Saccharomyces cerevisiae S288C: one gene and its partner. The main gene of each other region encodes a partner of the protein of the gene in region 2 in a complex. Each region holds a gene or a part of one and is shown on either strand. Other genes may lie near its edges.

What was found.
Region 1: ASH1 (region 2) and DOT6 share a complex: the UniProt entries of both Saccharomyces cerevisiae proteins name them as parts of the RPD3C(L) complex.

The regions. Positions count from the first base shown.
Region 1 is NC_001137.3:332,676-337,063, reverse strand, and holds DOT6 (Dot6p), read left to right. Parts: upstream 1-1,875; coding exon 1,876-3,888; downstream 3,889-4,388. Other genes in the region: type 2C protein phosphatase PTC2, read left to right, coding at 1-1,118; Arf family guanine nucleotide exchange factor SBH1, read left to right, coding at 4,234-4,388. UniProt on the Saccharomyces cerevisiae protein: Component of the RPD3 histone deacetylase complex RPD3C(L) responsible for the deacetylation of lysine residues on the N-terminal part of the core histones (H2A, H2B, H3 and H4).
Region 2 is NC_001143.9:92,511-96,824, reverse strand, and holds ASH1 (DNA-binding transcription repressor ASH1), read right to left. Parts: upstream 2,327-4,314; coding exon 560-2,326; downstream 1-559. Other genes in the region: ornithine decarboxylase SPE1, read right to left, coding at 1-68; MTR2 (Mtr2p), read left to right, coding at 3,527-4,081. UniProt on the Saccharomyces cerevisiae protein: Component of the RPD3C(L) histone deacetylase complex (HDAC). Responsible for the deacetylation of lysine residues on the N-terminal part of the core histones (H2A, H2B, H3 and H4).

The DNA.
Region 1 (4,388 bases), on a different chromosome or scaffold from region 2:
CAAGGGCTTTGATTGATACTTTCATAAACACAGACGTGAAACTGTTACAAGATCCTGTGATGAAAGAAGACCATAGCGGATGTACGGCTACATCCATATTAGTATCAAAGTCCCAGAACTTGTTAGTATGTGGTAACGCTGGTGACAGTAGAACCGTACTCGCCACCGACGGGAACGCAAAGGCATTATCATACGATCACAAGCCCACTCTAGCAAGCGAAAAATCACGTATTGTGGCAGCTGATGGCTTCGTAGAAATGGATAGGGTCAACGGTAACTTGGCGCTCTCTCGTGCCATTGGTGATTTTGAGTTCAAATCCAACCCCAAATTGGGCCCCGAGGAGCAAATAGTGACATGTGTTCCGGACATTCTCGAGCATTCTCTAGATTACGATAGGGACGAGTTTGTAATCTTAGCCTGTGATGGTATCTGGGATTGTTTGACTTCCCAAGATTGTGTGGACTTGGTTCATCTCGGCCTTCGCGAAGGCAAGACATTGAATGAAATTTCTTCGCGGATCATCGATGTCTGTTGTGCTCCCACCACAGAGGGGACGGGTATTGGATGCGACAACATGAGTATAGTGGTTGTCGCGCTGCTGAAAGAAGGTGAAGACGTCGCTCAATGGAGCGACCGTATGAAGTCCAAGGCCCACCGCACATCAGTGCGTTCTTTTGCAGACAAGAGAAGAAGGGTGTTTAGTTACTACGATTTTTCCAAATGTAACGACGAACAGGTGTTCGCTATCACTACGAAGAAACCTCAGGACAAATTCACTCGCGACCACGAAGCCGCTGTGGCCTCGGTGACTGCCGCCGATAACGACGATCCAATGGACATAGACGACACGGACGCTGACACAGATGCAGAAAATCTTGACCCTTCCAGCCAATCCAAGAGCAAGACCTCCGGCCCCATTGATCTAGCATCCTTGGAGGCGCTACTTGGTGCTACAGGAGGAGTGAAGACAGACAGCAACGGGAACAAAGTCACCTACACTCTTCCCCAGTCTGCCTTGGCCCAACTGCTCCAAACCATGGGCCATGACCCGGCTTCCTCCCATCCCGAGAATGACAGTAACACTGACCACAAGGCCGGCCGTTCCCACTTGCAATGAAGGATCTTCCATCCTTCATTATATATACATACCTATATACGAACCGAACGAACAGAAAGAGAAGAGAAGACGCAAGACACCACCAGAACCAAGAGCATACACCACTACCACCACCATCGCTACCAACAGCAGGATATCCGGATGCAGTTTGACGCTTGAAGATGGTATTCACCTCAGGGGTAAACGCGCAGAAACTGCGCGTTTACCTGCAGCGACGCCACAAAAACGGACCGGCCCGGCCAGAGGGTGAGACCAGCAGCGGCCCCGTTGTGAAATCTCACCCCCAGTCCCGGATGGGCACGAGTCCCCAGCGCCCGTCCCATGAGGTCCTCCTAAGGTAGACAGCGCGGATGTTTCCGATGCAAAGGAGAAAGGATGGACGGTACAGACATCGTAGACAGGATTCGCGCATTGCCTTGCACATCTGTGCCCCATCCAATCTACCGTATCTATTGTTATCGTCGTGTGTGCTACTCTTTTCTCCGACAGCCTCGACAAGACGGAATCAGAAAGTGCACACAGTTTAAAAAGGAAAAAAACCGAGTACAACAAAAACAGGGACAGGTTTTGAAAAGTGTTCTTTTCTTTGCATCTTCTCTATTTCTTCTCTCTTTCGTCCTGTTTGGTATCTTGTTGTATTTTTTCTCTCTTTTGTAGTATATTTATCCGTGTTTCCTCCTTTTCACAGTCAGTTCATCCGACCTCATCGAATAGCTTCCGTGCACGTTCCAGTCTTCCCTCCCTTCTCTGCTCCGTGATGTCCATTTCAACCAGTTTGAACTCAGCTTCCATTCATTTGAGCAGCATGGACACCCATCCTCAGCTACACTCACTCACTCGTCAGCCACACTCGTCGTCAACAGCTATGTCCAAGAACGAAGCCCAGGAATCTTCGCCCTCTCTGCCAGCTTCCTCTTCATCGTCGACTTCGGCATCGGCATCTGCGTCTTCCAAGAATTCGAGCAAGAACCCTTCCTCTTGGGACCCTCAAGATGATCTGCTGCTACGTCATTTAAAGGAGGTCAAGAAAATGGGCTGGAAGGATATTTCGCAATACTTCCCAAACAGGACTCCTAACGCGTGTCAGTTCAGATGGAGAAGGTTGAAGTCTGGTAACTTGAAGTCGAACAAGACTGCTTTGATCGACATCAACACCTATACGGGCCCACTCAAGATCACCCACGGCGATGAGACTGCCAACGCTCAGCAAAAGCCCAGCAAGAAGGTAGAAGAAAACGTATTAACGGAAGATACTGCTGAGTTCACTACAACGTCATCCATCCCGATTCCCTCCAGAAAGACCTCGTTGCCTTCGTTTCACGCATCGATGTCATTTTCTCAATCTCCGTCCAATGTGACTCCCACTACGATTGTCTCAAACGCTGCTTCTTCCATGCCGTTCGCTCCTCCCACGCTGCCGGCCGCACTCCCTCATCATCCTCATCAACACCTACACCACCATCCCCATCATAAGACTCTAAAGCCAAGGTCAAACTCTCACTCCTTCACCAATTCTTTGAACCAAGACCCCATCGTTCGGTCTAATGATGAGGAGAAGTATGGATTCATTCCTAAAGTATTCGTTAGATCCAGAAGAAGTTCGTTTGCCTATCCACAACAGGTAGCAATAACCACTACTCCGTCTTCTCCAAACTCTTCGCATGTCTTACTAAGCTCAAAGTCAAGAAGGGGCTCGCTTGCGAATTGGTCCAGAAGATCATCGTTTAATGTTTCAAGTAACAACACTTCAAGACGGTCTTCAATGATTCTTGCACCAAATTCCGTGTCAAACATATTCAATGTCAACAATAGCGGCAGTAACACTGCTTCTACTTCTAATACCAACTCAAGAAGGGAATCTGTCATCAAGAAGGAATTTCAGCAAAGATTAAACAACTTAAGTAACAGTGGAGGTCCTACCTCCAACAACGGGCCCATTTTCCCCAACTCTTATACCTTTATGGATCTCCCACATTCTTCATCGGTGTCATCGTCATCCACTTTGCATAAGTCTAAACGAGGTTCGTTTTCTGGCCATTCTATGAAGTCATCGTGTAATCCGACTAATCTATGGTCAAAAGATGAAGACGCTTTGCTAATGGAAAACAAAAAGAGAAACCTATCCGTTATGGAACTATCCATTCTTTTGCCGCAGAGAACTGAGGTGGAAATTCAATGGAGATTAAACGCCTTGTCAAGTGATGCGGATATGTTGTCTCCTACACATTCACCTCAAAAAACTCTGTCCAAGAAAACTTGTCCAAGAATGTTCAAAAGTGGTTCTACCACTGATGATGACAAAGGTAGCGACAAAGAGGACGTTATGGGTGATGGTAGTAACGATGATGACGAAGATAATGTAGACCCGCTGCACCGTGCTAAACAATCCAGTAACAAGACTGTCTTTTCATCCAGCAGTTCCAACATATCCTCCAAAGACGTTTCACCGGATCCGATCTTTTCACCGGATCCCGCAGATGATTCATCGAATACTTCTGATGCTGGTTCTAGGTGCACCATAACCTCCGATACCAGCTCCTCGGCTGCAACCATGAATCGCACCCCTAATTCCAAAAACCCGCAAGATATTGCTTTGTTAAACAACTTTCGTTCTGAAGCCATTACTCCGAGACCGAAGCCTTCTTCCACAACTACATCCATCACTACCGAAACCACCAATAACATGATAAACCACTCTAGTTCTACAACTACTACCACAAACAACAGTCCGCTGCCAAGCATAAACACTATCTTCAAGGATATGCTGTGAGGGGAAAACTTAAAATGAAAAAAAAATAAAAATAAAAAAATATCAACAACAAAAAGAAAAATGTGAATTTAGCGGGCTTGTTCATTAAATTTCTATAGTTTAGCATATTTAAAAGTATAAAAGTTTCTTTGGTTTATATGACGTATTCATCCATTCTTCATTTCCGCTTCAACTATTTTTTTTCGTGGAACGCAAACAACGTTACCCTGAACTTTTCACATTGGAAAAGGAAAGCATCATAAAAAATCGTGTTTTTATTTTAATACACGGTAGCCTTTTGATGAAGGGAAAAGATTTCAACCACCACTTCAAAACACCACACTCTACCTCCTACCATACTCCATAATGTCAAGCCCAACTCCTCCAGGTGGTCAACGTACTTTGCAAAAGAGAAAACAGGGAAGTTCACAAAAAGTTGCGGCATCCGCTCCAAAGAAAAACACGAACAGCAATAATTCGATTTTGAAGATTTATTCTGATGAGGCTACGGGACTAAGAGT
Region 2 (4,314 bases):
GAATTAGACAAGTCCACTAAAGTAGTAGTGGAACTAGATAGAGCATTTCCTACTTGAGTACTAGACATAGTAAGTTTGAAATTCAAAGGTTTTGATTACTATGAAAAAGTTGTAGAACAATCAAAAAATCTTACCTACTTAAACTTGAAACAAAAGCCGTGCTGAAACCTGGATGATAAACCAAGGAACGAAAAGTTCTTCTGTCCTTTCTATTAACTACACTATTATGATTGAATTTTAAGCTTATTAGAAGCAGGTTCCGCTATTTCAGTGCAATAAATGCTTTTCATTTTCGATTTCAGAATAAAAATCAGGATGACCAATCTATTGCGCAGGAGAAGTTATTAGAATGATTTCACTTCGAAATGGGCGAAAATATCTGCACGGCGCAGATTAAAATTAATCGGTGAAGAAAACGAAGATGCCGCGGCGTGTCGAATGAAAATGAAAGAAAATGAATTTTTATTTGTAGTTTATTTAGCACAGACAAGGAGAGAAATGTACAATTGTTTCGTGATAATGTCTCTTATTAGTTGAAAGAGATTCAGTTATCCATGTATCAATTCTCTACTGTCTCAGTTATGTAATTACAAAATAAGCAACGGTACCCTTCAATTTCGCAGTTGCGTTCGGGGACGAATTCTTTGTCTATTCCATTGGATTTCATAATGTTTATTTCACCCTTTGTGGGGATCTTACGACATAAATCGTTCAAACATCTTGTATGTGTTTTTTTATATCGAAGACCACAAGAGTTACATAGCTGATCTTGCTTTCTTGGCGACCACGATGGCCTCCAACAGGGCGAATCACTCGAATGACACGACACGCACACTCTTGTGGTGTGACGAGTGGGTGATGAGCCACTGGACCTTCTACTTCCCTTTTTCGTTATGCTTGAATTTGATGATCTTCGAGGGCTTTGAGGGGGAGAGTCGAGAGCAAATCTATGATAATTGGGTGACCTTGGGCTTGGAGTGTATGCCTTGGGACGCACAGGTGAGGATGATCTTGATCTCATCTTGCCACTTTTCGTCGGTGTGGAGGGAGATGGAGATGAAGATGCAGAGACAGAACTGTAACTAGCGTTGTCGAGTTTCATCACCAATTGTCTTGCAGTGTTACCGAAAACATTTGATGCTTGCTTTGAGATTTTGTTCTTAGATGGTTTCCTTACATTAGATTTGGAATTGTTCGATAGAATGTCTCTATTCGCAAGCAATTTTTTTATTTGCAAAGCTTTGAAACTGTTCGTCTTTTTGTGACTGGCATTTGGCATGGGAAATGAATTTCCACGTAATTGTCTTTGATGTTTAACTTCTTGAACCAATTTTTCACTAATAATTGGATTGAATATTGAATCGTTATTGCTGGATTTCCCCTCAAAAAAAGAGGCCTCTACTCCTCTAAGCGTCGTGCGCTCCATGGTTCTATTGGTTGGTGGACTCATCGGCGGTGTGACGGGAGGAGTAATACTCCATGCATTGTTGGAAAGATCTTTAAATTGATCTTTAGCTTCTAGAATCGAAGGAATTAGTTTGGTACGATCAAATGATTCCTTAGACGGGGAATGGAACTTGGACGACCTAGTCGATTCCAATTCCTTGCCGTAATTGAAACTATCATTATTTTGATTATTAGTTAAGTTGGGTATACTTAATGGCTTGAAATGAGCCACTTCTTCGCGTATTTTAACATAGTCTTGATAGTTTGTATCCTTACACCAATGGGTAAGATCAGTTTTCCAATTAGATGTACGTTTTGATGTATCAGGGAAGCGTGCTGCGTTTTCTTGTAAAAGAGGACTGGGTAATAATTGCAGATGCCTTAGTGATGGTAGGCTTTGTTGTGGGCGCTCCGGTCTCTTAGATAAAGAGACGGACGATAGCCTGTCTAACAATGGTAGTCGAGGTTGTGAATTAGAGGAAAAACCTAAGCCAGACCCATAGTTCAATGGATTTGTAAAACTAATCTGAGATAAGCTTGCCTTGTTGAATTCTGGTGAATTGCCTGGTGTTAATGAGGAAATTGGATTGTAATCCATATGATGTGGCGATGCTGGTGCAGTATTTGATTTTTTTCCAAGTATTTCGTTAGCCAAAGATATTGGGGAAAGAATTGGCGACACATTGAGCGAATGAAACGAATACTTCCTAGGACTTGCTGAATTTATATTGTTATCGGTTGTGATATTGTTCCTGCTGATATTACTGGATAAATTGGAAAATGAAGGCAATAAAAGATTGTCATAATAGGAGCTATTTGCATGAGAATCCGGACCAGCAGATAATGCATGCAGTGGTGTTTTGATGTATAAGCTTGACATTTTTTTGCTTTTCCCGTTATGAGAAATGTTTTTTTTAGACTGAAAATAAAAGAATGGATAGTATTAAAATAGTAATGAACGTAATAAGGATAGGACAGGAGCGATAGGAAAAGATAGAATTTTGGAGCTTTTTTTCCCTCTTTTTTTGAGCAGGAGCCAATAGTAGTCGGAAAGATGAGTGTATAGATTTTTCGTATTTTATTTCGAGTAAAAATATCACGCTCTTAGGTTCAATAAAAGAATATACTATTTCTTCAAAATGCTTCTCTAATCTATTTTTTTATTTTCCTTAATAACTGAAATATTATTTTTTGATGTAAAATGAGTGAACAAGAATAAAGGATTTTTGGTATGTTTGCAAGTTCTGTGGAGTTCCATGTATAAGGTATACATATTAGAAAAGCTTTACGATTATATACTAACATCATGTACAAAACAGTTTAATAATGATCTGTATTGCTGGCTCAATCCACGTAAGGAAAATGATCAGCCCAATCCTCAAAAATAAAATGGCCCTTCCAAAATTAGAGACATATCGTAGAAATCAGACGCACGCTTGGCGTCAATATCCTAAAACGGAAAACTAATCAGTTAGATGTGTCTTTTTTAGGTAAAAAAAGGCAACCAACTTTTTGCTGGCTAGCGATGCGACAATAAACGCGCGCAGCGAATAAAAATAAGATGGCGGAGGAGCAGAGACTTCTTTTCTTAGAAGAGGTTTTGTTACCGTATGGGGGTATGATGGTTAGATGGCTGAATAAAAACGTTAATTAAAGGAATACAGAAGAGGAAGCGCCCCGATTTCTTTTCTGTTCCACATGAAAGCAGCCGGTTGGGTGGTAGATCTCTAATGACATCCAAACTACAAAACCGAGATTGGACATATAGCACACTCTGCATTTCTACTTTCCTTTCTCCCTACAGTTTGCTCGATCTGAACCGATGCTTCTTTGATTGGACAAGATGATAGACCATGACTCCCTGTATGTATTGCAGAGATTGCCACTACTAACCAAGAAAAGTTGAACGTGTCGTACGTATAAAACGATTTATGCTTAGGCTTTACTGAAAAAAAAAAAGTAAAAAGAGGATGCGCAAACGCATAGAGCAAGTAACTAACCTGTTTTTATAGTATATACTTGGCCCCACCAGGCTGATCGTCAGGCAAAACGCCAAACTAATAACAGTAATAACAGAAATATGAACACCAATAGTAATACTATGGTAATGAATGACGCAAATCAAGCACAAATAACGGCCACATTTACGAAGAAGATATTAGCGCATTTGGATGATCCGGACTCCAACAAATTGGCCCAATTCGTACAGCTTTTTAATCCAAACAACTGCAGAATAATATTTAATGCTACCCCCTTCGCGCAAGCAACAGTTTTTCTGCAAATGTGGCAAAACCAGGTCGTACAAACACAACATGCCCTAACAGGAGTAGACTATCACGCTATTCCGGGATCCGGCACGTTGATATGCAACGTCAATTGCAAAGTCAGATTCGACGAAAGCGGCAGAGACAAGATGGGGCAAGACGCGACTGTTCCCATTCAACCAAATAACACTGGGAACAGAAATCGACCCAACGATATGAACAAGCCAAGACCTCTATGGGGTCCATATTTTGGCATTTCCCTGCAGCTGATCATCGACGACCGCATATTTAGAAATGATTTTAATGGTGTAATATCGGGGTTTAACTATAACATGGTTTACAAACCCGAGGATTCTCTGCTAAAAATTTAGTGGGAAGATTCCGCTCTACCAGGGAAAAACAAAATTATATAGAAAAGAAGGTAAGTAATAAGTAATACGAAAAAACCCAAAAAAAAAATTCAAATACCCCAACCCTGTGCCCTTTCTATTTTTATGGTTGAAAAGGTTACAGAGGATCCTCTGGAGCGGTGACAACAGTTGACGCAATCATGGTCCCTGGCGGTCCCTAAGGATATCTCGGAGGAACCGAGGCACGGAAACGG